Rhinolophus ferrumequinum: one gene and its partners. The protein of the gene in region 1 interacts with the protein of each later gene in a pairwise test. Links are inferred from orthologs where the notes say so. Each region holds a gene or a part of one and is shown in the gene's direction. Other genes may lie near its edges.

What was found.
Region 2: the proteins of SPRED1 (region 1) and HPCAL4 interact in binary tests that used the Homo sapiens proteins (3 or more experiments, as listed by UniProt). The link is inferred for Rhinolophus ferrumequinum from reciprocal best matches to the Homo sapiens genes SPRED1 and HPCAL4.
Region 3: the proteins of SPRED1 (region 1) and IL16 interact in binary tests that used the Homo sapiens proteins (3 or more experiments, as listed by UniProt). The link is inferred for Rhinolophus ferrumequinum from reciprocal best matches to the Homo sapiens genes SPRED1 and IL16.
Region 4: the proteins of SPRED1 (region 1) and NCALD interact in binary tests that used the Homo sapiens proteins (3 or more experiments, as listed by UniProt). The link is inferred for Rhinolophus ferrumequinum from reciprocal best matches to the Homo sapiens genes SPRED1 and NCALD.

The regions. Positions count from the first base shown.
Region 1 is NC_046289.1:66,397,890-66,405,818, reverse strand, and holds the start of SPRED1 (sprouty-related, EVH1 domain-containing protein 1), read left to right. Parts: upstream 1-4,913; 5' UTR 4,914-5,794; coding exon 5,795-5,826; intron 5,827-7,929. UniProt on the Homo sapiens protein: Tyrosine kinase substrate that inhibits growth-factor-mediated activation of MAP kinase. Negatively regulates hematopoiesis of bone marrow.
Region 2 is NC_046292.1:27,818,860-27,826,549, reverse strand, and holds the start of HPCAL4 (hippocalcin-like protein 4), read left to right. Parts: upstream 1-4,673; 5' UTR 4,674-4,828; intron 4,829-7,690. UniProt on the Homo sapiens protein: May be involved in the calcium-dependent regulation of rhodopsin phosphorylation.
Region 3 is NC_046311.1:1,397,204-1,404,522, reverse strand, and holds the start of IL16 (pro-interleukin-16), read left to right. Parts: upstream 1-4,314; 5' UTR 4,315-4,389; coding exon 4,390-4,429; intron 4,430-7,319. UniProt on the Homo sapiens protein: Interleukin-16 stimulates a migratory response in CD4+ lymphocytes, monocytes, and eosinophils. Primes CD4+ T-cells for IL-2 and IL-15 responsiveness. Also induces T-lymphocyte expression of interleukin 2 receptor. Ligand for CD4.
Region 4 is NC_046297.1:43,660,014-43,667,985, reverse strand, and holds the start of NCALD (neurocalcin-delta), read left to right. Parts: upstream 1-4,958; 5' UTR 4,959-4,976; intron 4,977-7,972. UniProt on the Homo sapiens protein: May be involved in the calcium-dependent regulation of rhodopsin phosphorylation. Binds three calcium ions.

The DNA.
Region 1 (7,929 bases):
TGAAATGGAAAGAATATCCCACTAAGGATCCCATCTTTGACAGGTTATATATATGAACACACACGAACACACATACACACACGAGCTTTTGAAGGAGAAAATGTGAGTTTGAGTGCTAGCCACATTCTTATTAATGTGTGACTTCTGGCAAGTCAACCTCTCTGATCTTCAGTTCCTAATTCTCTCTGTAAATTGGAGTTGATAATAATACCTAGCAAGCAAGGGTGTTAGGAAGGTAAGTTCCTGAGGGGCATCGTACGTTTTATATTCCTATACGAAGGTTAATTATTATTACTCACTCAGAGGGAAGTCAAATTCCATTTTTAAAAAAATCCAAGGAACCACTGAGACACTTTGTTGTATACTGAATTTGTGTTGCATTCACATGGCCTTGGAAATCTTATGTGACAGATATTTCAGTACTTCATATTTGTTGTAACGGGATATAACCTTCAAAGAAAGAGCATGCCAAAACCACTTGGGAGAATGATGGTAAGGGAGGAGTGCTTTATTTAGTAGTGTGGGGCCTAGTAAGCATCCTCCCTGCTAAGATTATACTGAAAATAAAGGAAATCGCAGACTGCTCATTTCCCTTGTACTTGTTGTAATCTTGTGGAAACTTCCTGTAAAAGGCAGTTATAGCATTAAAAGTAAACTGATTTCACACTCACCGGATACTACCAGACCAACAATTGAAGTCCTTTGGGAGAAAAATAAAATAGCTTATTTCTTTATACTTTGTATTGGTTTGGAAGAACATGGAAACCCTAGTGATGGAGAAACAGACTCATGCCAGAGGCAAGGAAACTATTTAGAAACATGGTTACCATTTAGTAATTCCACTGAGAGGCAAAGCTCATTAGCCAAGAGACTGGTTACACTAAAAAAAAAAAAAAAAAAAAAAAAAAAAAAAAAAAAAAGTCATTCATTAAACAAAGTACAGCATGAAAATAGTATCCCCTTTGATCTAGGCACATATTAACTACAGTTTTAAAATACAAAATTTTAATAACATCTACTATGGGGTAATGTTAAAAGTAGTTTCAGAAGTGAAATATGAACATGTATTTTATATACAGTTGGCATGGCTCTCTTCTCTTTTGGCTTTGCAAGTATACATATATCTGCTGAGAGCTTATTAGTGCAAGGCACAGTGTGAAATGCTGAATTGCAGCAGTACTCAGGTCACAATGGGAGGCCAGAGGGGACTCCTGATTTACATCGTGTCAGTCAATACAGTTTCATTTTTATACATACACAAATGTATAAAAATGGGCACCATGTTTCACTTGAAAAGCTTCCATTAGTTAAAACCAGTGCTGAAGAGAACACCCAAAAATATAAAATGTTGCTTTTGCCTTCAAGACACTTAAAATGAAACTGGAAAAACAAACACATATTAATGAAAGTTAATTAGGAAAAAAAGGGGGGTGGGGAGAGAGAATTACTAACACAGGCATCAAACAGTAAAGGGAAAAATAAAAGTATTTGAGAAGACAAATTCTGAGTTCATAAGAAAGATGATCACTATGGACCGAGTGGTCTGGAAAGAGGGAGAAAGCCTTGAATTGGGGCGCTGCATGCCAGCTTCCAGTGCCTCCATGAGCTCAGGCCACCTTGCTGGTTTTGTTAACTCTGCCTGGAACTCAGAACCAACTTGCACCTTCTTAACTTTGATGATGTCCTGTAGTGGCAATTACCTGGCAACTGTACTGTTGGCTCATGGATGCTTTAGATAATAAATCATCTATAACAGGTTGTTAAGTGTTAAGTGACCATAGCTAATTCCTAAGCTAAGGACAATTGTACTGAGAGCTACCTGTGAGTACCAGCCGTTGTGACCAACCTCTGCCACAGACCCTCTTGAGATAATACAAGCGAGCAAACACAAGGGTTCCTTGTACTCCTAACCCTGATGGGGCCACAGAATCCTTCTGGACTAGTGCTCAACCAACTGCATGGAGTTGGAACTTAAGGTGAAACTGTGATCTGTATTTATCTTCTCACACAGCTTTTCAAATCTTGTTGAGTCCATCTTCCTTAGCTGCACCAGGTCTCTGGCCTTAGCCAGTGTCTACCTTGGCCTATCATCTACCTTGGGCCACCCTCTTTTGTGTTGGGCTTCAATTAGGGATGTGTTCAGAGATGTGATGACACAAGTAGGAAAGGGGGGGGGTAGACTGCGAAGGGCTAAGGGAACCCGGCATACTTCTGAAAAAGCAGATTTGTTAGCCTCATTACAGATCTGCAGATCAATCTCTGGAGCGGGACCTAGGAATCTGCATTAAAGCAGTCCTTGCAGTGGATACCAGTTCCTCAAATAACGTCATTTTGCCAAACATCATTTTGTGATAACATTTATGACATGCCCCAGGAACTTCACTCTTCTTCCTATCACTTAGCCTATGGTAAACTGATTTTGTTAGACGTTGTTTCGCAAAAAAGTCACAGAACCTGTCGACATTAAGCGAGGACTACTTTCAAAAAAGAACTGTTTGGTGACTGTGTCTTGATCGCAGGACTGGGAACAATCTAAAAGCATTCATTCAGGCTGTTGATCATGTCTTGCCCTTTTAGGTAAGCAGTATAAATGCAAGTGGCCAGCATAGTGCTCTGCACATGACAGCCGAGACAGTTTTCCTGTCTTCTCTCAAAGCCTGGTATTGATCATTTCCCTGATGCACTTGAACCTCAAACAGATACAAATCTTCAAAAGAAAATGATGGCTTACTAAGGGCCAGGTTATGTGTCTAGCAACAGTGGTATACACAGAAAAAAAAACCAAGCCAATTATTGATTGAATGAATGAACAAGGCTACTGAATGCTTTACATTAAACCTTCAGAGCAACTGGCACGGCTTTGTCGTGGAGATTATTATTATCTCTGTTTTACAAAATCATAGTGAGAGCTAGGACTCACTGAGCTCTTAATCTGTTTTAAGTGCTTAATGTATATCGTTACCTCATTAATCAGTACAGTAGCTATATGAGTTAGGTTCTATTATTCCCATTTTACAGAGGCACAGAGTTTAAGTAACTTGTCTAGAACACAAATTATAACTGATGGGACTTGATTCAAATCTGAGCAGCTGAAGCGGTTAGCAGTCGTACTGGAAGGAGTGCAGGCCAGCACCAACACTGCCAGTTATAGGTTCGTCACAGAAACAAGATAAAAAATAAAACAAAACAAAAAACAACTCAGATTCAGAGGTAACAGAGGTCCGATCTGATTATCCCGGATCCCCTCTTCCTGTCACCAACATTGTCCCATCCTCGCTTTGAATAAGGAGAATGCTTTTGCGGAGGCAGGAATCAAGAAACCTCCGAAATCAACGGGATGCTTTTTTGGGCAGACTGACTGGTTGAGCTCCTTTATTCATTCGTCACACATTTATTAAGCACCTACTATGCGCAGAACACTGTTAACCGGCTCCTGTGTACCAGCTCATGAGAGCACTCTGGAAACTTCCTGAAGACAGATGGAAAAAGAGGAATGCTGGCATGTTTGGGAAGTTCTCCCTCTTTCTTCTTCCTCCGAAATTGTTCTATCCCTCAAGGTGGCAGGAGCAGCAACCTTCATTGCTAGGGTGCACAAACCTCAGAATGAAGAGCAAAGCATTACGCACAAAGCTAGACTGATTGCCTAGGAAGATGGGTCAGAAACTTGGGAGCATTGGGGATTCAGTCCCCCAGGCCAGATCTTGTATAGGCTGGCTTTCTAGGTAGCGAAGAGAGAATAGAATTTGCAGAGCTCACAGTCCTCTGGTCCGGTTGACCCTATACTCCAACCTAAAAACCCCAGCAGGTTTCTGTGCAAAAACCTTTTGAGATGAATGCATACATTGTCCTCTAACAATGCAAACGTGACAGCTGCCTATTCAATACTCGTTCCGCCTCCGTTCAGAGCAGTTCGTGCCACAGAGGCATCTTCTGCGCTATAGTTATGCAACCTCACTCGCAGCAGGAGTTATTTCCTGTGCTTCAGGCTGCGCCAGATTCATGTAACACGCCTACCCTGGGCTTCAATGGAAGTCGTTCTCCATTAACAACCACTCTAGCTTTCGGAGATGAATGCCCTGCACAGCATACCCCTTGCGCAGTAAAAATCCAAGGTATTACAACTAACTCTTTCTCTCTGTAACACACACACACATACTCACTCATTCCCGATGTGCATGCAGTTAGGGGGCTGCAGCAATGCAACCAGAGGGACAGCAGGCGGAGCTCTCTTTGTACAGTCCCTCCTTTAACCCGCACCAACTAAAGATGAACTCATGCCAGTTCCATTCTTTGCGCTGCAAACACACACACACACACACACACACACACACACACGGCAGACAAGAGTAGCTTCCAATTTCCTCCTTGAGCACACTGTCATTCTAGCCGGCTCGTTCAAACAACCGGATATTCCAAAGCGAGTAACGGGGAGTACCGCGCCGCAACAATGCAACCTCCCAAGCAGCTCCCAGTGCAGCTCACACCCCCGCCCCTTTCGCGGCGTGCCAAGAGTTTGGAGCGCGCGCACGCACACCGAGCACGGGGCCTGGCGTATCCCTCCGCCTCCCTCCTCCCTCTCCCCGCTCAGTGGCTCGACAACGATTTGGGAAATGAAGGGAGGAGGGAACTACTTTCCTGAAACTTGCTATGCTGCACACGACTTCGAGTTGCAGTGATTCGCCCGGAGCCCGCAGCTTCTGGTCCTCCTTTGCACACACTCTCCCAGCCCGGGTACCCCGCTCGGCAACCCCACCCCACGCTCTCTTTGGCCCCCGGGGAAGCCGGCGGCCGGGAGAAGTCGCCAGGGACTACTTCGCCTCCTTCTCCCGCGGGCGCCCCCGGTTCGGGCAGCGGCGGCGGCGGCGGAAGGAGCGGGCGGCGTGAGCGCTTCCGCCGCCCCCCTCGCGGCTCCCCTCTGGCGGGCGTGAGGAGGTGAGGAGCTGGCCCGCCGAGCTTGTGGTGGGCACCGGCTGACGGGGAACCTGCAGCCGCTCTCCTCGCCCCGAAGCCGCTTCTCGGGACCCTGCTCCCCGGACGCTCCCGCTCTTCGCCTGCCCGGGTGGGGGCGATCGGGTCGCCTGCCTCACACACTCCCCGCCGCCCCCTCCTCCCCCTTGTGGAGTCGTCCCGGCTGGAGTGTCTGGAGGAATCCGCCGCCGCGAGGCCCCTCGCCCGATCCTGCTCGTTCCTGAGGACCGCCCCATTCGCTGCCGGGGGCTGAGCGGGCAGCCGGCGGCGAGGCGGGAGATGGTGGGGTGGGCTCTGGCAGGACCGTGCCGCCGCCGCCGCCGCCGCCCGGAGCCTGGGCTCGGCAACCCCCCGGCAGCCCCCACCCAGGGGATCTCTGCTTCCTCCTCACCGCATCCCTGAGGGAAGCGCCGCCTCTGCTCCCGGGTTCTCCGCCCGCCCTCCCGCTCCTTCCTGGCCGGACCCCGCCTCGCTCCACCCCAGTGGCCAGAGGAGCAGCTCTCCAGTCAGCCTTCGCAGTCCCCCTTCTTTTTCCCTTGCCACCCACCCTTCCCGGCCTCCTCGGATCCCTTGGCTGGGCGCTGAGGCGAGGGAAGAGGCTGGGGTCGCCACGGCAGAGGTTGTTGCCGCCACCCCCCTGCGGGGGTGGCTGGGGTTCCCGGCTGGGGGGGCACCGTTCCGGGTGAGGCATCCACCATGGTGAGGCCCCTGAGCCGCTGCCCCCGCGCCTCCCCGGCTGCCTCTGCCTCCTGCCCCTCGGTGCTGCTGCTGCTCCTCCGCCTGCTGTTGCTCCTCCATCTCCAGATCGGATCACGGTGAGGGAAAGATGAGCGAGGAGACGGCGACTTCTGACAACGAGTAAGCGCCTCATTGATCCTGATTACACCCCCCCACCACCACCACCCACCCAGCCTCCCTCCGCTGTTCCCCAGACCCCTCTGAGACTTGGGTGTTGGCAAGCTTGCAGCCCTACAGAGTTCGGTGCATCTTGTTCTGCAGATAGCATTTGATTTCTTGAGCCATTTTATTTAATGGCAGTACCCTACCCCCCGCTCCGCACCCCACCCCCTCTTTTCGTGGCTTTCTTCTGGGGAAGGGTATTGAGTGTTGCGGTGGGATGGCAGGTTTACGTCCAGGAGATGGAGTCGTGTGGATGGATGGAGGCCGGGTAGAAATTAGCCCTCTGCCTGAAAGACCTTTGGCCTGTCCTTTTTCCCTGTAGCACACCGATCAACACACCCTGAATATCCATCCTGCTGTCTTTATAGCTGTTTCACTTGGAAACTGATGTGTGGGAGCACCTCCTGCAGCAAACTCTCTTGAATCTTAATTCGATGAGTCAGTGACTCTTTAATACCGATTAAGCCTCCATCCCCCTCCCCTCCTGTTTTAAACTTATGACCTGTAAGATTCTTGTAAAAAATAGGGCTGGAGAAACATTTTTAGAATTTAATAGGATTAAGGACACATGGAGTATGGGAGACGTTGAACTATTATATTTTACCTTTGCCGACATTGGACATGTCTTTATCACGAGCATAGAAGGATTTTTGAATGCTAATTTTTATTCAGCGATATTAAAATACACCATTTACATTGATTTAACATATTTACCTTGTTGAACATGTTGATGACTTCATCGATTAACTTCTAGACCATCCCGGTTAAAGTTTCTATTTGGCCTGTCTTTTATGTTTTCCAAACGGAATACTTTGCCACCTAAATATTTTGCTGTAACGTAACGGCTGCCTAGAGGAATAATGAATGGTACGACGACAACTTTCTGTTGAGACGGGGATTTAATTGCATGCAGAATATTAGCAACCGTTGTCTTGTAATTAAGTTCAAGTTTTGTGTATCTTTAAAGGGTTGGAAAGAGTAAAGTGAGCGAGGGCTAGTCCCTTAAATAAAGTGCATTCCTCGAGTCAGACCTTTTTGAGAGACCTTTAAAGTCCAAAGCTTGGACCTGTTTTAACATAAAATAGCTTGAGAAATGCCAAGCAGCGTTTCTCTTTCCTCCCCTCCCCCCCAAAACACTCTTGTGATGAGCGGGTGTGGGAGAAGGTAGATTGCTGCAGTGTCAGTGCAGTCTAGAATCAGAAGTGGCCGCCATGTTCTCTCTTTTTGTGAATCGCCCTCATTTGCATAGCACACTCTTCATTCATAAAAAAATAATTAAACATCCATCACCTTGGACATCTCGAAAGAATTTCCTAAGAAAAATACTCGAAACTTGATTGTCTTCATGTAGATTTTTGAGTTCGGCAAAGTAAGGAGAATTCGAAGTTACAGGTTAAATTAAAAAACATACGCACTGACACAAACAACTACCCCCTGTTCTCAGAATGTTGACACAGTTATGTGGGAAATATCAGTTCGGGGGAGGTGCTGAGATCACGTGATCGCCTCCATTCATAAAATACCTGGCTGTCCATTCACAGTGCAGTACTCTGTCTCACTGCCTTCCGCAGATTAGACCTACTTTGAGAGAGATCAAGAAGTACTGTATCTCAGATAACGCTTAGTTAGGAGAAAAACTGCTGAAAATTCTGAACGGAAATGACGATAATTTTTACTGGTATCTTTAAGAAAGTAGCTTGGATCAAAATGTCAACTTCTATTTTAGAGGTGGGAAGAACCTAATTACCATATTTAAAGTAATATATTGAATACCTCCTTGTTGGATGCAGCTAACAGAAAAACAAATGAGGGAATGTGAATTAACACGTGTAAATACATTGTTTATAAATGGGCTCTTTTTTGTAAGACTTGCCATGGACCAAATTGAGAGTGCAAGTTTTTTGGTGTAGTGATGGTCAGTGAATGCTGTTACATGAAAAATGAGTAAATATTCCCAGTGGTTTAATCCCCACAATGTTGATGTTTGAAATACCAAATGGCAATTTTTACTGGGAGGATTGCCTTATTTTTTTTTTTTTATTATTTACATGTACTTAGTAT
Region 2 (7,690 bases), on another chromosome or scaffold:
AGGGAAGGGAAGGAAGGAGGGAAGGGAAGGAAGGGAAGGGAAGGGAAGGGAAGGGAAGGGAAGGGAAGGGAAGGGAAGGGAGGGGAAGGGAAGGGAAGGGAAAGGAAAGGAAAGGAAAAGAAAGGAAAGGAAAGGAAAGAAAAAAGAAAAAAGAAAGGAAAGGAGAGGAAAGGAGAAAAGAAATGCTGGGGTAGGGATGTGAAGTGGCTCACAGAACCAAAGGAGAAGCAGAAGTAGATCTTGGAAAGGACACGTACCAGAGTGGTCCCTGGGGATTCAGATAGCAGAAATGAATGAACAGTGTCATCAGAGCACTGCCCTAGAATAAACCAGTGATAACTATCCTTGAGTCACTTTATTCAAGATGCAGATTAACTTGGAAAGGAAAGAGAGAGAATGAGAAAAAGAGAGAGTTTACTTAGCCTTACTTAAGTCTCATGCCCAGCCCTTGTCCATGGGAAGGCAGGACAACTGGATTGATAGTCCCAGCTACACTGTACACAATTGGGCTGGGTAATCCCCTGAAGCAAAATCTGTTCTAAGCACTTTGCATATTTATTAACTCATTTTAACCCTCGGAGTAGCCCTTTGAAATAGGTACTGTTATTATTCCATATTTTACAGGTGAGGAAATTGAGACACAGGGAGGTAAAGCAACTTGCCTGTGGTCACACAGCTGGAAAATGATGAGCTGGGATGCAAACCCAGGTAGCCTAGCTCCAGAGTGTGTGCATTTAACCCTCTACAATATAGGGCTTCTCTGGCAGGAGGGCAATGAAGGCAGGGCAGGCAAAAACACAAGGTCCCCTACAGGTAATGCTCAGGAAAGGGATTATGGGGTACTTCCACTTTCTCTGTATCAATTTTAAGCCACCATGTATTAACCAGACCGAAAAAAAAAAAAAAAAGATTATTTCTACTTTGGAAAATTAAAGAAAAGAAAATCCTGCTTAGCCAATAGGAGAAAGGGAAGAAGCCCAAAGCTGGTGATCTCACTCTCTCCCAGCCACAAAGAAGACTGTGAAATATCTAGGACCCAGGGGAATTCCAGCTGTCACCAGGCTGCACTCGCCAAGGCTGAGGAAACCCAGGGAGTCAGGAAGGCATTATCCATCATAAAGGCCCTGCTCAGGACCCAGAGGGGAAGAAAGCTAGCTAGCACTCTGCTGAAGCAAATCGAAGTGGCCACTGCCTACAGACCTCTGCCCTCACTGAACCCTCAATTCCCTCTGTGCCTCTTTTTAGGGCTTCCCGCACAAGCACACTTTCCTTCTTCCATGCAGCCTGCTCTGCCCTCATTCTACAGGGCCCACTCTTTCAACAGTGTGGAACAGGTGATGCCAAGCCTCCAAGCCTGAGAACAACAAGGCCACAACAAAGCTCCAGAACTTAAACCTCATCCCTCTGGCTCAGCCTTTAGCTGCAGAACAATGGAAACCCCAGCTCTGTTCTGGACACTGCCCCTTCCCATGAACACAGGTCAGTCAGTGGCTAAGAGTGTGGGCTTTGGAGTCAGACCTAGGTTGGCGTCCCAACTGTGTCACTAACAGGCTGTGTTACAATAGGCAAGTTGTCTAACCTCTCTGAGCTTCCATCCACTGCCATGAAATAAAGTAATAATACCAGGGCTGAAATTCAGTCCCTATGAACTGGTACAGCTGAACTGGCTGTTAAAATACTAAAATACTTCTAAATTGACTGGTAAATCGGTAGCAGTAGCCCATGGACCCCCACCTCTCTAGTTTTTTTCCTGCCTGCTCCTCTTGATCCAATAACTAAACTGTTAACTCTTGGCAAAACAGAGACCTGCTACCGTGTATCCCCGAAAATAAGACCAGGTCTTATATTAATTTTTGCTTCAAAAGATGCATTAGGGCTTATGTTCAGCGGATGTCATCCTGAAAAATCATGGTAGGGCTTATTTTCCGGTTAGGTCTTATTTTCGGGGAAACACAGTAAGTCTTTGCTCTAGCACTAAGGCCAGCATCCGTTCTGATTGGTAATGCTCGTGCTGAACAGGGTTGTTAGATATTTTTAATGTCACCCCTGGCAGTGGTGATAAGTGGGATTAAGTGAGATAATGCAGATAAAGGACTTGGCAGAGAGTCTGGTATATAGTGAAGCGACTCAATCAATGTCAAACCTGAAGAGCAGAGGCAGGGTCAAGATCAGGGTCTCAAGTATTATGAGCAGGTGAAGATGGGTCACAACTGGCAGTTCAGTTATACTCACAGGCCCTGAGATGATTCGTGGGTGAGGCTGCGTGGGTGGTCCTGCCTGGTTCAAAGAGCAGGTCCTGCTTCACAAACTACCCCTTACTTTCCTTCTCCTGCTTACCTGGGATTCCTGGATCCCATGCTAGATTCCAGAGCCTAGCGTGGGGAAGTCAAGAGAAGCCACGCACCGGCTGGCACCCTGCAGGGCAGGAGGGCTCATCCCTGTGTTCATGACTGCCAGCTCTACTGCTGCTGTTGGAATCCCATGTCTTGTTCACCTGAAACAGAGAAGCTGTCCCCAGGAGGCAGGGCTTTGCCTTTGTAATGTCTTCGGGAATCAGAAAGAATATTCCAATTCAAGGTCTTTCCCCTAAAGGACTTAAAGTATCTTAAAGGGGGCAGTATTGTGTGGTAGCTAGAAGTGTAGGCTCTGGAGCCAGACTGCTTGGGTTTAGATCCCAGCTCTGCATCTTTACTAGCTATGTGAACTTGGACTAGTTGTTTAACTGCTCTGAGCCTCAGTTTCCTCATCTGTTAAATGGGAGTAATAATAGTATCTGCCTCATAGCGTGCTTATTAGGAATAAATTAAGTAATATGTATAAAGTGTTAGGATAATGCCTGGCACAAAGTAAGTTCTCTCTATATGTTAGTTATTATTAAGGAGCTCACAAGTGTAGCGGCACAGTCAGATTCATGCCCACATCATTCTGTCCAGGGTGACAGCCTTTCTTCACCCTGCTAGTTGAAATTCTTCCCCTGCTCTCCTGGGCCTCCTCTACTAGCTCCCACGTTTTACAGACTGGGAGGCCCAGAGACGGTCTTATGTGGTGTCATTGGCAAAGATGGGACCCATTTTAGAGTTTCAGATACCACTTCCAGCAACCCCTGCTGCCTCTCCTCAATTCCTCCTGCCTTGGGTTATAGTTCTCTGTGAACAGGAATGAGTCCTTGCCCATATCTGGGTCTCCAGGGCACAGAGCAAAGAAGGTGCTCAGGAAGTGACAGAGTCAGGACTTTCAAACACCTGTCCTTCGTGAGTCATCAACCACAGGGGCCAGGGATATGCCTGATGACTGGAGGTCCAGGTAGTGCTCTTATGCTGCCAGGGCCCCAGAGAGAAGACATACCCTGCAGCCAGGAAAATGGGACAGGGAGGGAGGGAAGGAAGGAGGGGGGGGAGAGAGAGAGAAAGAGAGAGATCCACTGATTCTGATTCCTCCCCAAGGAGGTTTGGTGGGAGTTTCTAGGACCAGCCAGAGAAGCCTTGCCTCCACTCTTGGCAGGTGGGTCCTCATTGCCCACCCACCCCCCCCGTTGCCCCGCCCACCTCAACTTTTGCTCCCACAGCAGAAGCCCCTTTCCCCCCCTGCTCTTCAGCATCCCCGCTTCCGTTGGACCAATCCCCAGACACCCCGCCACACTTTTGACAGATGCCTAGAAGTCCCTCCACTGCACATGGCCCACCCTGAGGCTGTCTGCTCCCCTTTCGCCCCCAGTTTGGAATAAAAGGGTTCCTTCCCACAGCCTTGGGTCGGGAACTCTCAGCTGCCAGTGCAGTCGGGGAGGCCAAGCCGAGCTTTGGGGAGACCCAAATGGGACGAGGAGGAGGTGTTCCCGGGGCCCTGAAACCTTCCAGACCCTCTCAGTATAAACCGCCTCGGGTTTGTGTCAACATCCGAAGCCGGAGACTGGCGGCGGCTAGGGACCGGCTCCGTCTACAGAACGGGAAGACGGGAGGGTGGGGAATGGAGGGGTCCATGGAGTAGGCAGAGGGATCCTTCTGGGGAGATCTCGAGGTGCCTTATGGGGGCGGTCCATGAGAAATAAGGAAGGCTGGGGAGGGCTTGGAATTAGGGGCTGTAAAGAGCCCACGACTAGTGAGGAACCAGACAGAGAGTGGGTACTTCGCCATCCGTACTGCGCTCTCGGCGCCCATCCACCCTCTTTTCCCATCCACCGCGTGAGGGGAGTGGGTGTGTTGGGGATGTGTGATGCGAAGGTGTGAGCTGCGGACCACCCCATCTCTTTCCTTCCCCACTCAGCTCCTCGGCAGCTCCTTGTCGCCTTCTTCCAATTTTGGGTGGGATATGGAGGGGGTCACATCTTGTGACTCATCCCCTCTTCCATCCCCACCCCCGCTGGGGCCCAGGAAGGGAAAGCTCAGAGACTCGGCTGTGGCTCTCTCGTTTCCATAGTAACCGTGCGGTTGTTTTTGCGAATCCACTTCAGTCGTTTACACTTTTCACCCCAGACTGTGGCCTGGGGTCTGAGCCTCAGGGGGTACAGCCCTCCCCCTTCCTCGCGACTCCGGGAATGTCAGCGAAGGCAGGCGGGGCGCGCTCCCGCAGCCGGGTCTCACTGGCCACCCGGTCCCCACCTGAGACCCCGCCTGCCACTCCGCCCGAGCGGAGCCAATCAACGCCCAATCTGCCCGGGGTGGGGCGGGGCTTATGCAAATCGTGTCGCCTCCGGGAGACATAGTGATACAAGAACTGGGAGGCGGCTCCGGCGCGGACCTGGGAGAACCTGGCCGCCAGCCCGCGAGCCAATCTCTGTCCCTGCGGCCCGCCGAGGCTCGGAGCCATCCAGCAAACCGGCGAGCGGCCTCAGGTAATGCGGGAGGGGCCGGGAGGAGGCCCTTGTCCCTTTCCCCTCCACTCTTCATTCCTATGCTCGTCTCCTGCCCCTCTGATTCATCTCCCAGACCCCTGGTTCTGCCATAGGTGGCAGCGTCTGACGGGCCCACTCCTGGCCAGGGAACCCCTCACCCAAGTCCAGGCCCCATGGGTGCAGGAAAGGAGACAGAGATGCCTCCTTACCCCTAGCTCAGGTAAGAACAACCACTGTTCTGGCCCCCAACACACACACACACACACACACACACACACACACACACGCCTGGAAGTGTGATGCTCATGCTAGAGGAGGCATTAGTCCCCCTTCTCCTTTGCAGATAGGTAGTCCACCCAGTCCCATGGCAACCTCCCACCTCCAGAGATGGCCCCCCGCCCTCATCATCCAGCACCAGCAGCAGCTCGACACACTTCACATTACAAGGTCCCTGCTCCCAAAGACCGCCTCCACCTCCACAGAAAGCCCCCTCCCACTGCACAGTGTCCTCTCCTCCCACCCCTCAAGCTGACAGAGCTCACAGCATACTTGGGGGAGGGAAGAAGCTCCCCTCCCAAACACCCCCCTCCCCCCTTCTCCTCATGACACTTTCTCAACAGCGCCCCCTCCCCATGGTCTTAGTGCTAGGCAGAGGCCCCATGTTTGGCCTCTTTCATCCTGGCTGGAGGATGAAACAAGGACGCCATCCCCCAGGAGACCACCCATACCTGTCAGTCACTGCTGCCAAGGGCCCAGCCTCTTCCGTTCCCCTCACCCCCCACAGTCGAAGCACCAAGTCCTCTCATTCTACCTCTCAAATGTCTTTCTAAGTTGTACCCTCTCTGGCCTTCTTGCACCCAATTGCTCCCTCTCTCCTATCTTCCTGCTGCTCTGCAGGGACTGTGCCAAAGCTCCATATGAACTGTCACTCCTTTCCCCAAAGGGGAAAACCTGGAGAGCCGAAGAGCTGGGTTCAAATCTTGCTTTTGCCTCAGTGCTGTCTGACTTTGGTCAAGTCATTTCCCTCTCTGATTCTTCATGAAATGGGGAAGGGGTCAGAACAGAGGGGAGACTAGATGAGGTGATCTTGAACAGACTTCCAAAGCTGACACACTCTGGTTCTATGGATGATTTTGAGAAAACAGGACTCTTTCTCTCTTTCCCTGAACCAGGAAGATATTTCAGAGAAGAGGCCTGAGGGGCTTTAGTCCTCAGCAAAGGGACATTGCTCCTTAACGAGGCCTACATCCAGACCATCTCCTCCCACACACTCTCCAGGCCTGGGCCCCTTGACAGCTATTAGGAATCCCTCCTAGACCAGCAGCCCACATGCCATGGGTAGCTCCAAGCTGAAGGTGGCCAACAGGGCCCACCCTTTGTTTATCATACCCTGCCTCTCATTAAGAAGGAGAGGGAGAAGAGGTGGCTGCTGCCGCTGTGGCTGCTGCTTGGAGAAGAGCAAAGGGAGGAGAGGAAAGAGAAAAATTTCCTGACCAGGGAGCTATTGTCACCATGGCAACCGTCTCAGCACCAGCTTCTCTGAAGCTGGGTGAGGTGTGGGATTATTGCATCCCTCAGTCCCTCCCACCCTCACTGTCACCTCCCCATTTGAAGCCCACAACCCTGAGCCCTGCCCTCTGGAAGAAGCCTCTGGGTAAAGAGGGGCAGCGGCTTTATGTATGGGGCAGTGCCAGCTCCTTCACAGCCGGAGGGCAGCCCTCAAGAGGTAAGCAGAGGAGCCTGCACATGGTCAGCTGGGCTACAGCACCAACTGAACATACCCTCAGGGCATTCTGGCCTTCGCCTTGCTGCTGATGGACTCTACTTGACCTTGGGTGAACCCTTCTTTCCCCAGGTCTGGCTTCTATTTCTCCTTAAGTGGATGAAATGGCAGGAGAATACAGATAAAACAACAGCCTGAGGCCATTCCACAGAGGAAGAAGGGGGTTCTGTCCCTCTCATGTAATCCACCAAGGAACATTCAGTGAGCATTGCTGGGTTCCAGGCATAGCCTTTAGGTCTCTGCAGGGTGGTTCTGTGCAGCCACAGAGGGCAGAGTGGGAACCCAAGAGGGGCAGCTACAAGAGGGCAAAGTTAGGAACAATGGGAAAAATACCTTTCTCCTGTCTGAGCTGCCCCAAAGAGGACTGGGTCATATTGGGAGGGGATAAGCTCTTTGCCACTGGGCAAAAAGACCTGGAGAACTTTTCTGGAGGGTCAGGCAAAAGTTTAATGCAAAGGCCTCTTCCAAATCAGTCTCCATCCTAGAATTCTAGAGCACCAGGTGAGGGTCAGAGGGCGTTGAAGTCTACATACTTGTGGGGCTCAGCTCCATGGTCTCACAGGGTCTACTCATGCCCAAAATACTGTGCCATGCTGCTGACTGTCCACTGTCCAGGCTGAGAGAGGCTGATCATAAGAAGTGGGCTTCAGTTAGACCTGCAGGCTGATTGTAGCTGTGTCAGCCCGGGAGAGAAGAGAGGATGTTAGGGGAAGAAAACGGCTAAGCACTAGGTGAGGTAGGTTCTGGCTGTGAGAAACTTGGCTTCAAAGGAGTACACAGTTGTGAAGGAAGCAGTGGGAGGTAAGGCTAGACAGTCAAGCACCTTGACACGAGATTCTGGAGTTTAAGGGGGCATGTGGGCCATCTCTAACCTATATTGTACTTCTGGGCAAAGCAGGAAAGACATTCCCTCGAAACAGAGGACTCAGAAGAAAGGCACTCCGTCTGAGGCCGTTGAGCCCACGGGCATAGCTTGGCAAGCAGTTCCCCAGCTGTATTTCAGCCTCCTTAGCTGTGCCCCTGGCCCCGACTATGGAGAGAGAGAAGACACTGACTGTTCCAGGAGCTCTTTAAAAGAA
Region 3 (7,319 bases), on another chromosome or scaffold:
CAGTTTGTCCTTAAAATAAATGTTCAAAAATTATAAAGCATTTTGAATGCCATACATTGGCACAATAGGCTGTCTGCAATTTTCTGAGTGTTAAAGTAAATTTTAGAGGCAGTGGACATTTAGAAATGAGTGGGTTGATTGAACAAGAAAATTGATTTTTAGCTGCGTTTACCATCCTGGGGGATGTAGGCATTCAGGTTAATGATTACACGTTAGGCTGGAAAATAGTTTACTGGCTTTCTCTGAGCCACCCAGGCTCCCTCGGGGTCACTATCTTGCGAGCTGTCACATGTCCCTCCATGCAGTGTGGCAGCTCCATCCGTGAGAATGTGGGAAGGGGCCAAGTTCAAGAGACAGCGCTGACCTCCCACCATCCATCGAGCCGGCCACGTGCCGTCAGGGCCTGATGCAGAAGAAGGAGGGAGCCTCAAAGGGTTGTGACCTGGGGGTGATGCTCTCTGGGGGATGTCTCAGCCCTTTCTGAAGTGTTAAATGTGATGTGACAGCATCAGCAGGGAGCTCGGGGCCCAGGAAAGGGAAACGGGAGGAAGTGGACTGTGGGGAGTGCCGCCGGGGCTGCTGTGGGCCTGGCCCCAGGGACCACCGAGACCCATGGTGGGCTATGGACTGGGGGAGCTGGACTGGGTCCCAGCTGTCCACCAGGGAAGGAGGCTGTGCTGGAACCTGGGGGGGCGGCAGCTGTGGTTCGGAAGAATGGAGCAGGACAGGCTGCATACCCAGTCTCCACGTGGAGACCGCCACACGAGACGGAACGTACGGTCAGGGGCAGGCGCCAGGGCCACTCAGCAGAACCGGGAGCGGGAATGGCCGCTGGGCCATCCCACGGGAAGGGGGAGGAAGACTCAGGGCTTGGCGCAGGCAAGCAGACCCTGCATCCGCAGCAGATGGGTCGTTGTGGGCTCAGCCGCCAGCCCCTCTAAGCCTCTGGCATGCTGGCTGCCTGGTCAGAAGCAGCTCCCGACGGGGTAGGACCCACTTTGCAGCGGGAGGTGTCTGTCTATGACGCTGACGGGCTGGGGGACACAAGAGCCAGCCAAGGAAGAGGACGCAGCCCTCTGACGTGAGCACAGTCCAGGGGCCTCCTGAGTGGGTGGGGGTTGAGTAAGCAATCAGTCCTAGGCCTGAGCCCTGCAGGGCCAGCAAGGGGGCGCTGCTGGTGGGGGCAGGAGAGACGAGAGGAGGACAGAGAGCTGGAACATGGATGCCAGAGGTTGCATCTCTCCCCAGGTGGTTTCACCAGTAAGAGGAGGACCTCCCATTCTTTGCTGCAGACCTTGAGTGACAAACAGCTGTTCTTTCAGTCCCCGGCGCAGGGAAAGAGGCGGCTTTGTGGGTGGGGAGTGCTCGGGCCTGCCAGGACTAGGGCTTCCCATGTGTACATATACTTTTCCTCCCTTTTTCCCCCTAAGAAACAAACTAGGAAATACGGAGTAAAAGAAATAAAAGGCACTCATAATCCACTAGCCAGAGATAACCTCTGTTCATATCTGGACATGCAGCTAGTAGGCTATATACAGGGGGAAAATCGTGTATAAACACGCAGCCTTTCTTATGTCTCTGTAATTGAACTTAAAACTCTTAGACCCCATTTCTGCAGATGACGGAAAATTGATTTTGTCATTTTAAAGTAGCCCCATCCTCCCTTCAGCTGGGCAGCCTTTCATCTCCGTATGGAAGAGAAAACCACTGTTCTTTTATCATCATATGTTCTTCCCAAATCTATGGGTTTATGGTATAAATTTTGTGCTTTGAATCCTCCAGGCTTTGCTCTCTGTAATCAAAACCAAGCTTTTGGCATTGAAGGAACAAAATATAAACAAACCCAAATGTATTAGTTTTCGATTGCTGCTGTAACAAATTGCCACAAAAGCAGTGGCTTAAAACAAGACGAATTTACGTTCTGACAATTCTCGAGGTCAGACGTCCAGCCTGGGTCTCGCCTGCTGTCATCGGGTGTCGGCAGGGTTCACATTCCGTTCTGGAGCTGCGGGGAGATTCCACTTCCTTGAGTTCTGCAGCTTCTGGAGACACCTGCAGCCTTGGCTCACGGCCCTTTTCTCCATCATCAAAGCGAGCAGCGTAGCTTCAAGTATCTCTGGGTCTGACCCCTCTTCTGGCTCCCTCTCGCATTCTCAGGGATCCTTGTGATTACATTGGGCCAGATAATCCAGAAAATTCCTTTAAAGTCAGCTGATTAGCACCCTTAATTCCTTCTGCCACTTTAACTGCCTCTTGCTGTGTAACATAACGTAGTCACAGGTTCCCACAACAGGATGTGGACGTATTTGGAGGGGCCGACCGCAGCAAATAATAATTTGTCAAAGGCTTGATTCATATGATCAAACGCCATGACTTTCAAAATTACAGCCTTTGCTGTTGATTTAACAGTCTACTTAGGAGTTCCAAAGGCAATGATTTGACTTAGAAAACCTTTTTTTTTTTTTTAAATTAAAATGTTTTTTTCTATCATCCTCTAAGTGGTATGAATGGAAAGCTCCCGCTCCTCCCTGAATTGGGGTGGATAACACAGTGATGTTGGAAAGCCCAAATGGATATTGGGAAGCGCATGGAGGGAAAACAAACATACCCTCAGTGTTATTCTTCAAATTTAATCTGTGTCGTGTATGTGGATCGTCTCCCACATCCTGAGTTTGTGAGCTGATTGATTCCTGGAGTACTATAGGCAGACCTTCCTGTGACACTCAGTCTTACGTACTTTATCACGTCACCGAGTTTCTGCAGACCGTCCCCGCTTACCCAGCCTGTGTCCCACCTGTGCGGTGCGGCAGGTGGTACCACTAGAAGGCAGCGGCGTGTAATCTCAGGGCCTGAGTACTTGTTCAGAGCAGGCTGAGCTGGCAGCAGGGAAGGGAGGGCCAGCTCTGCTTCCAGGACCTCATTGTGGGGTGACGGTGACTCATGGGGGCTGTTCTGACTCCAGGTACCCACAGCTGGACTTCTCTGGCAGCTGGCACCGCAGCACCGCCTGGAGGAGTGATTGTTCAAGGTGCGTAGGGGCGGACTGGGGGGCTCAGGGTCGCAGTGACCGGCCTGGCCTGGCTTTGAGCAAAATGCTGGCGACTGAAGCCTGCGACCCGACCCCCTCGAGGCCCTTAGAGGTGGGAATGACGTGGGTGGAGAAACCCGAGGCAACCACAGGTGGGGGGATTGGGGAGGGACATCCCAGGAAGGCCTGGGACACTTGGCAGGTGACAGGTGTTGTATGTTTAGGTGGTGGTGCATAAACAGGTGACTTAAACCGGACCCGGCTCTGTCTCACTAGTTTTCCTGGTGACACTCTGTCGAACGGCAAGCTTTCCGTTCCGTCCCCTCTCACACTGTTGTGTCCCCAGCCCTCACATTCTGCCCCAGTTTTCAGCTCTGACTCTGCCCATGTATTGTATATCCTTTTGGTCTTTTCGGTGGGAAATCTGAGGATTTATTTAACCCGGCAATCAAATTGGTCATTTAAAATAATAGTATGCCTTGTCCAAGTTTAAAAATAAGTTATCCTGGTATGGAAAGGCAAGCCGGGAAAATTGGGTAGATCAGGCTGCAAACGTTCCGGAGCCCAGGTCCCCAAGGGCTCGGGCGCAGGGTTGGTCGTCCCTCCTCGTCCTGACGTGGGCGGCAGTCCGGGCACCTTCTGTTTGCCTTGATTAAAGTCAGCCTTCACCTTCCCGGAGCCACTGCCCTTCTGGGGACACAGGCTGCATTCACCGTGAGTGGCCCAGCCCCAGCCCTTTGCAGATTTCATGAAAGGCGTTTTCACTTGGATTAAACAGGCACTGTGTTTGTGTGTGGTGTGTGTGAAGGAGAAAATGAATCATTTCAATGTTGGGCAAGGATTTTAGGTGTTGTGTTTGTCCCTCGCAATTACATAAACACACCAGAACTCGTTAAAAAAAAAAAAAAAGAAAACGTTGGGTGGGGGGAGCGGTGCGCGGTTGGGATGATCTAAGCAGTGGAGTGAGTGACGTCTCCATACATTAGACAGGCTTGTCTTCTGCCCTCTCAACTCACTCCGAGTCCAAAGGAAAGTTTGAGGTTTTACATTTCTGTTTGCGGTGCAGGAAAAAGCTTATGATCTGAGGGCTTGATTCAGTGAAATAACATCGCTTTTATACACATTGCTCTGCAAGGAGGGCAGGAGTTGGAAGAGGCTGCCCTGAGCCGTTAAAGACTTGCTGGCAGAGGGGAAGTGATTTTTCCCTCCCTCCCTGCCGGGGAGGGGGGGAACAGCTCTAACGGGGAGTTACTTTGTAGTTTTAACTCCTATTCAAATACTCCCAGCCCGAGAAGCTGCGGAGGATCAAGCAGGACTTCTGAATCTGCTCAGAGGGGCCTCCCGGCCCCAGGGCCCTCAGGATGAGTTTGCAGAAGAGGATCTTCCCTCGGAGGCAGAGTGGTGAGTGGCCTTCTTCTCAGGGGACCCGTGGGAGGTGGGGTGCAGGGTGTGAAGCCGCACGGGGTGGGGGGAGCACAGTTTTGTTTACGCGCCGGCATGGAGTGTGCACGTGTGCGCCTGTCTGTTGTCCTTGCAGAGGCTGGCTGAGCACTCATTAGGCTGTTGGGCGGGGGTGAGGTGGGGGTGGCGGTGCGTCGCCGGACCCCCAAGGGGATGAGAGAGAGCCCTGGCAGGCAGAAGCTTTCTCTGCCCTTCACCCCGTCTGAGTGTTGCTGGCAAAGCAGGGCAGGCGCAAGGTGTACACGCTGAGCCCACAGGATCCCCATAGCTGGGCTCCTGGGGGCTGGGGAGCAGGACCGGCTGAGCCTCCCAGGTCTGTGCCCTGGGCGGGGCGGGGTGGGGTGGGGGACAGGGGGCTGTGTACCCTCAGGTGCAGCCCAGCGAATGAGACGGTTTTTAGAACCTCTTGCTCCGTTTACTCCAGAAGTATACACAGGCATCAGGGAGGATTTTAACCCCTTTGCCCAGCGTTTAAAGTCAACACTGGCAAACCGTCAGCTGTTGTAACTTTGGCATAAGAGAGTAAACACATGGTTTTCTTTAAAGAAGAGAACAAGGCAAGTGAAGGGTGCATTCTGACTTCTTCAGCTCTGGGAAGATGGGGGAGGAATGGCCAGAACCCAGGGACCCATTGGGGCAGGTTCCATTCAGGCATGTCTGAACCCCAAGGGAAGGCAATGGAGCATGGGGACCAAAACCGGGCCCCCTGGGGTGGATTCCTGCGCTGAGAGGAGCAGGCTAGTCGGTTTTAGGAAAGGTGTCCGTTTCCTTCTCTGCCCCCACGTCCCAGGCCTGTAGAAGTCATGTCTGAGAGGAATGATGTGTGCAGACAGGCCAGCACCCCTAAACGGGACACAGTAACCCTCACAGAGCACGGGGCTCGGGGCCCAGGTAGCCCTGGCCTCCCTCTTGTGGAAAGTGGGCCAAGCATTGAGAACGTCCCCCTTCGGACACAGACCACACAGTGCGTTTACTTCCACTGAGGAGTCCTTGTGGGCTGGACATGACCTGGGTTTTATAGGTGCCCCCTGTTTCCTGAAACCATTTTATTCATGGGAGGTCTGGCCACTTCCTGTCCATGGCTGCATTGGTCGGTTTCCCTAGTAACAGACTCTGAGCCAGAGATGTGTGTGTAAGCAGGTCATTGCTGAGTGTCCCTGGGGACGACCCCTGTGAGGGGCAAGGGAGGCGGAGTGGACAGGGGAGCGTCGGGTCCAGTGCCCCCATGAGGCTCTGTGCCATGTCCTAGCCAGTTGCTGCGCCGGGGCAGAGCATAGCCGGGGCAAGGCTTCAGCTGAGGGCGGATCCTGGAGACGCTTCGCTGTGAGTTGTCACAGGACCCGTGGCCACTGTGGATGCGCGCCTGGTGCCAGGGGCTACTCTGGGGGCACCCCTCAGCGTCCCTCAGTAACGCTAAGTCCTTTTCTGAGTTCAGCTGAGGGAAGAGTGGGGATTAAATGCGTGGATAGCTGTCCTGTTAAATCCATACATAGCAGGTGACCTTGGGTTCACCCCTTTCCATATCTGGGATTCACTGTCTTGTCTAGAAAGTGGATGGAAGCTTGTGGGAGCAGAGAGGGCCTCTAAGAACCCTCCCCGCTCAGCCGTTTCAGAAGCGCAGATTTTTGAGCCTGTGACGGTCTGGGCTGGGGGTTTGGTTCCCCAGTGAGACTCAGGTCACAGGGTCTCCACAGGTGCCCCCATTCCGACTGTTGGGAAATGCACACGATCCCTGGGGACCCTGTGAGTCCCATGGCCAGCGGTCAGCAGGGAGAGGTTGTGGGGGGAACCTCATCACAGGGCAGTGGGGACAGGGGTTCCAGGAGAATCCCACTGTGTGCTTCTGCCCTCCCCCCAACGCTCCTTCCAAGGAGAAAGGAAAACCACATGGGACGCCGCCAGACATCTTTGAGAGTTGAAAGCCATACAGTATTGCCCGGGACAAACACAGATGTAGCCGGATTTATTTGATTGCCCTCCCCGCCCCACCACGCGCTTACTATTTATTTTCAATAGACAAAGAGTGAAGTCACTTTCTCAAACAGTTGGAACTCATTCTCAGCTATTTGTTTAGGGCATTCTCTGCCGCAGTGCTGGGCTCTGGGCTGTCAGGGGACGGACACGTCAGACAAATGCTCACTCACACAGAAATACTAATAACGATAAAGGGGGTTGGGTGCCCTCACCGGGGACGGACCTCGTGGATGGACCAGGGAGGGCTTCCCTGAGGAGGTGCTATCCCCGCTGTTTCCTGAAGGGTGTATGGGAGTGAGTGGGAGCCAGGGCTGGGAAACGGGGAGCTGCATGTTGTCCTAGAGCAGGGATGAAAAAGGAACCGTTTCAAATCCTACCAGCTGAACCAAGACGCTCTGAGCTTTGCAAGAATACTTCCAACCCATCTGTTTTCCTTGCAGCATCTTTTTAAAAATAATCATGGTGACTTGGTAGCTCAGGGAGTAAGCTTTTCATGGTGGGGGAAAACGTCCGGAGCCCTTGACTCTGTTCCCCACACCTGGAGGCCAGCCCCCCGGTGTGCGTCCTGGAAATCCAGCTGTCACGCCAGCCCCTCCTTCCTCCTGAGGGCCTTTCAACACCAGGCTCTAATTTAGGACCTTTGTGGGCACGGCCTCATTCCATCTTCCCTGCAACCCAGGCAGGTGGCGCTCCCCCCAGGGTCACTGCGAGCTGTGCTCCTAGCATGCTGTCCTGCCGACCTGCATCCGGCTTCACGTGCTGATGTCCCACTCGGGGGTGGCTTACGGGTCACTTCTCAGTTCCCACACGTTATCAAAACCACAGTAGACACTTGTGTCCTCACTGATTTTTGACA
Region 4 (7,972 bases), on another chromosome or scaffold:
TGTATTCCCCTGCTCCCCATTAGAGCCTTTCCACGATGTTTCCTCTGTCTAGCTCCTTCCCTAGTTGTCCCAGCCTGCACTGTTATATTTTTTATATAACACTCATCTGATATATATCTCCTTTCTCTCTTCCTCTCTCTCTCTCTCCTCCCCTCCGCATTATATAAGTCTTACCAAAGCATGGATCTCATCTGTCTTGTTTAGTGAACCCAAGAACCTAGAATAATTTCAAGCACATAGGAGGCCCTCAGGAAATATCTGTGGAGTAGATGAATAAATACATGCTATTGTTGGCCTAGCTAGTCTAAAACATATACACTCAGTTGCTTCTTGACAGAAACTTGTAATTCAATGTCCAAAGTTGACCAAGTGCCGTGGTGAGAGAGCTGTCCCAGCAAATCAGACCTCTGGAAGCAGGAGACTCTGACCTTGAGCCCAAGACCAGTTGTCTCAGTGTTCCCAGTTTCCAATATCACAGTCAGGAACATTTTTAAAAGTAACGTCCATGACCAGGTGGCTCAGGCAGTTGAAGCGCAGTGCTCCTAACACCGAGGTCGCCGGTTTGATTCCCACATGGGCCAATGAGCTGCGCCCTCTATAGCTAAGATTGTGAACAACAGCTCTCCCTGGAGCTGGGCTGCCATGAGCAGCTGGAACTCGGTGTGAGCTGCCCTGGGCTGCCGCAGGCTGCCGTGTGCTGCCAGGAGCAGCCAGCAGCCAGTGTGAGTGGCCGGCGGCCAGTGTGAGCGGCCGTGAGCGGCCGAGCGATGACTGGCGACCGACTGCCTCAGCCGGGGGAGCGCAAGTCTCATAATACCAGCATGGGCCAGGGAGCTGTGACCTACACAACTAGACAGAAACAACGGCTTGAACCAGAGTGAGGGGGGAAGTGGAAGAAGGGGGGGAAAAAAGTAAGGCTCAATATTCTGGCATAAATCTTTGTGACCTTGAATCAAGCAAAACACCAAAAGCACAAACAGCAAATGAATACATAGATAACTTGTGCTTCATCAAAATGAACACCTTTTATTCTTTAAATGATACCACCAAGAAAATAAAAAGACAACCCATAGAATGGGGGGAAATATTTGCAAATTATATATCCAATAAGGGACTAATAGTCAGAATATATAAAGAACTCTTACACCCGAATAATAAAATGACAACGCAGTTAAAAAATGGACCAAGGATCTGAAAAGACATTTCTCTAAAAAAGATAAACACATTAAAAGATGATCAACATATCAACCATTAGGAAAATGCAAATCAAAACCACAATGAAATGCCACTTCATACCCACTAGGATGGTATAACTTACAAAAATGGCAAGTAACAAGTGTTTGAGAGGATGTGGAGAGATTGGAACATTTACACACTGGTGGTAAGAATGTGAAATGGTGCAGCTGCTTTGGAAAACAGTGTGGTCATTTCTCAAAATGTTAAACATAGAGTTACCATGTAACCCAGCAATTCTATCCCTAGATATACACTCAAGAGAAATAAAAACATACATCCACATAAAAACCTATACATGAATGTTCATAGCAGCATTATTCATAATAGCCAAGAAGTGGGAGCAACCTAAATGTCCATCAACTGATAAATGAATAAACAAAATATGATATATGGGATCATGGGATATTATTTGTTCATAAAAAAGGAATGAAGTAATGATGACATAAATGAACCTTGAAAACATTATGCTAAGTGAAAGAAACCAGTCACTGACTTCATAATGTATGAACACTTCATTTATATGAAATGCCCAGAATAGGCAAATTTACAGAGATAGAAAGTAGGTGGGTGGTTGCCAGGGCCTGGGGGTTAGGAGAAAGAAGGGAATGAGTGCTAATACTGCGGTTCCCTGAAAATAAGACCTAGCCGGACGATCAGCTCTAATGCGTCTTTTGGAGCAAAAATTAATATAAGACCCGGTCTTATTTTACTACAGTAAAATAGTAAATTTTTGGATATAATAAAATATAAGACTGGGTCTTATATTAATTTTTGCTCCAAAAGACGCATTAGAGCTGATCGTCCGGCTAGGTCTTATTTTCGGGGAAACATGGTGGGTATGGCATTTCTTTTGGGGGTAATCACAATCAGTTCTAAAATTGGTTGTGGTGATTGTGGTGATAGTTGTACAACTTTGTGAATATACTAAAAACATTAAATTGTATGCTTTAAATGGAAAAATTGTATGCCTGCAAATTATATCTCAATAAAGCCCCCCCTTTTTTTTTAAAAAAAAGCAGAGATCATTAAAGCAAAATTTAAAAATGAAGAAAGTGGTTTTGTAAATCACTGTTTCTCAGAGACACAGCCACCCCCAAGCACTGCCACCTTCCCACAACTGCCCCTGACACACCAGGGTTCTTCCCGCAGTCTGTAGGCAATGACCAGCCCTACACTGTCCAGACCACAGCTGACCAACTGATAACCTGGGGACCCCTTGTGGCCTACAAACTCTTCTTTCTTGGCCTGCAGAGTGTTTAAAAGATTTAAAAAATTAGTTATCAGTAATTTAAAATGAGAAGAGTTCATATTAAATGTAGATTTCTGGCTTCTCTGGAAAAACAAAAACAACAAACAACAAACAGACAAAAAAACTCAATTTGATGGCCACATTGGACCTGAATTTTCCCATGTAGGAAAACGAGGTTGCCCTCTTGACAGCATGATGCCCTTCCCAGTTTGCCCCTGTAAACACCGCCTAAGTTACTTCTTTATCACTGCTTCTTAATCCTTTAGGGACTTTTGAGTTGGCAACACCTACCTGGTCAGTCCGTTACCTGCCTCAAAACTTCCTTGTTCTATATCTCATTGCCTTAGGCCTTTTTTGATGATTGGCTAATCCTGGGTTTCCAATCCTGGCTGTACACCAGAATCTCCCAGAAACCAAGGAAAAAAATCTCCACGCCAGGCTGCACCCCTGACCAGTTAAATCAGAATCTCCAGGAGAACGGCCCAGGTCTAGTAGTAGAAAACAAAACCCCATCGCTCTAAGTGATTCCAATGTGTATTGATCCAGGGAGGCAAGGCAAGCCTTTGGGTTAATCTGCTAATCCAATTCAAGAAAAAGTTTTAGTGTCCAATAATGGTTTACCGGCTTCTCAGATACCGTCTTTTGCTGTGTATAATACATACCTTTTTGCCCAAATTTGTGAGAAAAAAATAAGGATGTGCATTATACATAGGTCGTACTAATTCTGTGTCTATATAAATGTTTTTAATTCTTTTATTCATACTTATGAGTTAAAAGTGTAACTCTAGATATCAATAACGATATTCGTATGCAAAATAATATCCTGGAATACGATAATCAATTTTGTTGAACTTACAAAAAACTTGCAAATATGAAGAGTTCTTGGCCCTCTTTGATGCATAAATATCGTAAATTTGTTACTGGTACATAAAATTTCTTGTACCTTCTATCTGTTCTTGTGTTTTGTAATCATTTGTTACATAAAATTTCTTGTACCATAATATGTTAAAAAAATAAATCCTAAAATTCCTTTATAAAGCAAAAAACAAGTACCTAAATATAAACAAATAAAAATTTGAATTAAAAAATTAAAACGAGGGGCGGCTGGTTAGCTCAGTTGGAGTACAGTGCTCTTAACAAGGCTGCCAGTTCCATCCCCACATTGGCCACTGTGAGCTGCGCCCTCCACACCTAGATTGAAACAACTACTTGACTTGGAGCTAATGGGTCCTGGAAAAACACACTTAAAATAAATAAAAGTTGAAAACAATGCATTAAAAAAAATTAAAATGAAACATTTTTTCCCCTGAAAGTTTGGGCCAAAAACGTGGGTGCACATTATACACAGCAAAATATGGTAACTTTATTTTTCAAGCATTGCCTGAAGGAGTAAATGATGTGGAAATTGAAGGCAGAACTAAGAGGATGGTTTCAGTCTGGTGGACCTTTTACTTGATTTTCAAATCAGAATTGGCAGCTGTTCGACCTAAATGTAACTGTCATTTCTATTACTAGTCATATTAGAAGATTTCGTAATTATTACAACAAACATGGACAGGTCATGGTGCCCTTATAGCTTTACATCGCGCCTTTTTGTTATTTTTAACCAGTAAAATTTTAAATCAATGAATCTATGTTGCTATTGAGACCTGCCGTGGGAGTTCTGGAAATGTCACTGGGGTTGACAAACACAAGAAGTCACTGTGACTTTTTGACAGATCATGAGTGCCCAACACAGCAAGACAGGAGCGTGTGCTGGCAGCCACTTGATAAATATAGGTTGAATGAATTGACAAGATATTTGCTTAGCATCATCTCCAGTCGATGAAAGATTTGGTGACATTCTGGAGTGGACGATGGGGTGGGGGTGGGGATAAGAGGTCCCCTTCAGATGCCCTCCTCCTGAGTTTCTGTTAAGCCATCCCTAGATGACAGAAAGCATTGGTTAGGCAAGAGCAGCACCCTAACACCTTGTGAACATGTCCTTCCAACCCGCCCCTCCCCCTTGAATTCAGTACAACAAGCAGGGATTCCAGCACCTCCATTCCTCACCGCCCTCAATCGAAGCCTAGAAGAAGGTGCTGTGGGTTGAATCTGACCTCCCTCCCAACCCGAACAGGCAAACAGATGTCATCCCTTGGAAAGTGCCAGTGCAGCCCAGCCAGAAGCCTGGGAGGTTGGCTAGGGCTGGGGGGCACAACGCACATAAGTCCGGCGGCTGCACCCGCTCAAGGTGGAGGCGTCTACTGCACCTGTAAACCCCGAGCCTCAGCTGACACCCCCTGCACCCGGGGAGAGGCTGCCTGCCAGGCCGCAGGGGGAGTGGGGGTGGGTGGCCGCGAGGAGGGAGGCAGAGGAGCGAGGCTGGGGAGGGGGGCGCGGCAGGCGGCGGAGCTGTCCAGGGGGAGGCGGGCGGGGGGAAGGCGCTGCCGCCGCCGCCGCCGCCGCCGCTTTGCCAGCAGAGACACAGACGCCGGGAGCAGCCAAGGCGGTGAGTCGCAGCGCCTGCTCTCGGCTTCTTCGGAGCCAGAGCAGAGTCGGAGTCGCAGCCGGGGCGAGTGTGCTGGGGGCGGTGGCATCGGGAGCGGCTGCTGGGGGGACTGGTGCGCTTGGGGCGCGGCTGATACACGGGTGGGCACTTGGAGCGCGCGGTCCTCGGGACCTGTCCCCACAGTCCTTCCCGGGTTCATTTTCCCCTGTCAATTCCCCAGTCCTTTCCCCAATGCCTCAGAGGTAAAACAAAACAAAACCAAAGACCTTGAGGATGGGTGGCAGAAAAGGAGAGAGCAACTTTGCAGAGGGACGCTCAGAGGCGAGCGGGGCGGGCAGGATGGGGGCGCGCTGTGTCGGAAGGGGGCGTTCGCGCGCCTGGTGGCCCGGGGATCTCCAGAGCATCCCTCCGGGGCGGGGGTTGGGGTCGAGTACACTTGCTGGTTCCCGGGCCTGAGGAGTCGGTTCTGAGGGGCTAGAGGAGGCGTGTGCGAGAGGTGGGGGCCCGGGAAGGGGGCTTTGGGAGCGACGGAAAGGCGCTAGTTGAATGCAGAGGAGGAAGTCGTCTGTATTTTGGACTCAGGACCCGAAAGATTTGCGTCTCTTGCTCTCGGGGACTCGGGAAGGGGAGTGCTAGGGAGATGTGTTTGAGTGTTTTTCAATGCATACCGATTTATTTTTAGCTCCAGAGAAGCAGGATGTGCAAAGTGGGTTGTATCAGCCCGGGAGGGGCAGGAGGTCTCCCTGTCCGCAGGAAATACACAAGTTTCTTGCTGCAGATGCTTGCTTTAACTTTCATGCCCGGAGAAAGAAAGCCATTTGATTCCGAAGCTCTCCCAGCCAGGGCCACTTTCTTCCGGCATGTCTGTCTGTGGCTGTAGACCAGGCCTGCCAAGTGTGTTAAACGCTGGCCTCAAATGATGGTATACGTTCTGTTCATAGAAAAAACTAGTGTGAAACACTGAAGTAGGTTTGCCAAGGTCTCGCTCGCTGAGAAGGAAACCACACAAGCTTGCTCAAAGTTTTCCCAGTTCGGTCTGATTTGAAAATAAGACTTAAACAACTGTTTTACCAAGAGCTGGGTTCTCTGTCCTGATTCCTCAGACCTAATTGGCAATGCTTGTGAGGTTTTTCACTCCAATGGGAAGATGTGGTTTAGGGTCAAATGCAGGATGCAAGGACGGACTGCAAAGGAGAAAGAGGTGGTGGTGTGATGGTGGGACTGTGGGTGTATAGGGAGACCACTGGGGGCTAAAGACAGACTTGGGGAGGGGCTTCCTTCAGAGGAGAAGGCTCAAGAAGCTGAAACCCAAATGTTCAGGTACCCAAGCCAGACCACTGGAAAGCATCCAGTCCTCTCTAGGAGTGTGCTAGGGCGATGGGCTGGGAGAGGTGAACTTTGCAGCCGGACTTCTGGATTTGAGTTCTGGCTGGGACATGAAGAGCTCCCAGACCTTGGGCTCATTACTTAACCTAACCTCTCTGTGTTTCCTGATCTGTGGCATAAAGTTGATAATAGTACCAAACCTCCCTCAGGTTTATTGTAAAGATAAAATGAGTTAATATAAAGAAAGGACTTCACACAGTGCCTTGTCATTAATAAGTGCTGCACAAATTGGAGCTCTTATTATTTTTGTTGTTGTCATTGATTTAGTTCATGATCTCATAACTTCTTGTCTGAATTGCTCCAACTGTCTTCACGCTGGGCTCCTTGCTCCGAATCAGGACACTCGTGCTCCAATGTGTTCTCCAAACTGCAACTAGAAAATAAAAATCTAAGCCAGTCATTCTGCTTAATTTCCTTAAGAGGTTTTCTGTGGCTTTCAGGATAGAGTTTGGACTCCAAGGAATTTCACGACCCCACCCTTGTTTCCTCCCCAGGCTCACTCATCTCCCAAGCCTCCCCATGTGTAGCCTCAGCTCAAGCCATTGAGTCTCAGCACCTGCCATCGTCCCACCCTTCCTTGTCTGGTCAACTCCTATGCATTCTTCCCTACTCAGCTGCAGCCACACTGACTTCCGGCAGACCTCTTGGTACCCGCTCCTGGAGCTGACTGAGCTGTCCTTACTTCATGTTGACACTTACCCTGCATATACCCCTCCCATCACTGTGCAGCACCATCCACATGTCAGTCTTCCCTATCTGCAAGTGGCTTGACAGATGGATTGGGAATGTCAGCAAATGTGTGTTGAATGAATAAATGAACATCAGTCAAGCAAAGTTCAGTCAGTTTCACTAAAGCCAGAAGCAAACATGGAGAATAATAGAGAGGATGACCAAACCAATCTTTATATATACTACTTTAATAAAAAAAAAAAAAAAAACTTTGGGCAATATTAAGGAATCAAAGGTTGGCCAAAAGGAATCTGGCATACTATCTTGGAACCATTTCAGAGGTATTTATTTAGTTATTTTTTAAGCGTAAGGGTTTAGACTAACAATGGGGAAATGCAGTGATCTGAACTCTTTCCTCACTTCCCTCATAAAAAGGTCAGACATCTCCGATTTGGTGGTGGAGGATGCAGGTCCAGCTCTCTGAGGTGAACTGATTCAGTGGATTTTCTTCTGGAAGCAGAGGTGAAGGTCACCACATGAGCATGGTAGCTCCTTGGTGGGTTGTAGCTCCCCCCAGAGTGTGGATTTCTGTTTGCCCTGGGATTGGTATGATGAGAACAGGAACTCTCCTCTCATCAAAGCTCCTTTTTTACTTTTCAGGGATTCAGTGTGTTCTGGGGTACACTTCTGACTGAGGTGGCATTTCCAAGAGCTCCATTACTGGGCTCCCAGGAGCCCTGTGCAGAAGGAGATAAGCTGGTGCCTGGTGCTCTGGGACAGCCTCTGAGTCTAGTTTCAAGGCTTCAGAGCAGGGGTTTGTACAGCCAAGAGAGCAAAAATGCTTTTTACAGTTTTATAGTGTTGTAAACAAAACAAATCCAAACACAAAGAAGAATACGTGATAGAGACCATGCCTAAAAGTCTTACTACTTAGTTCCCTA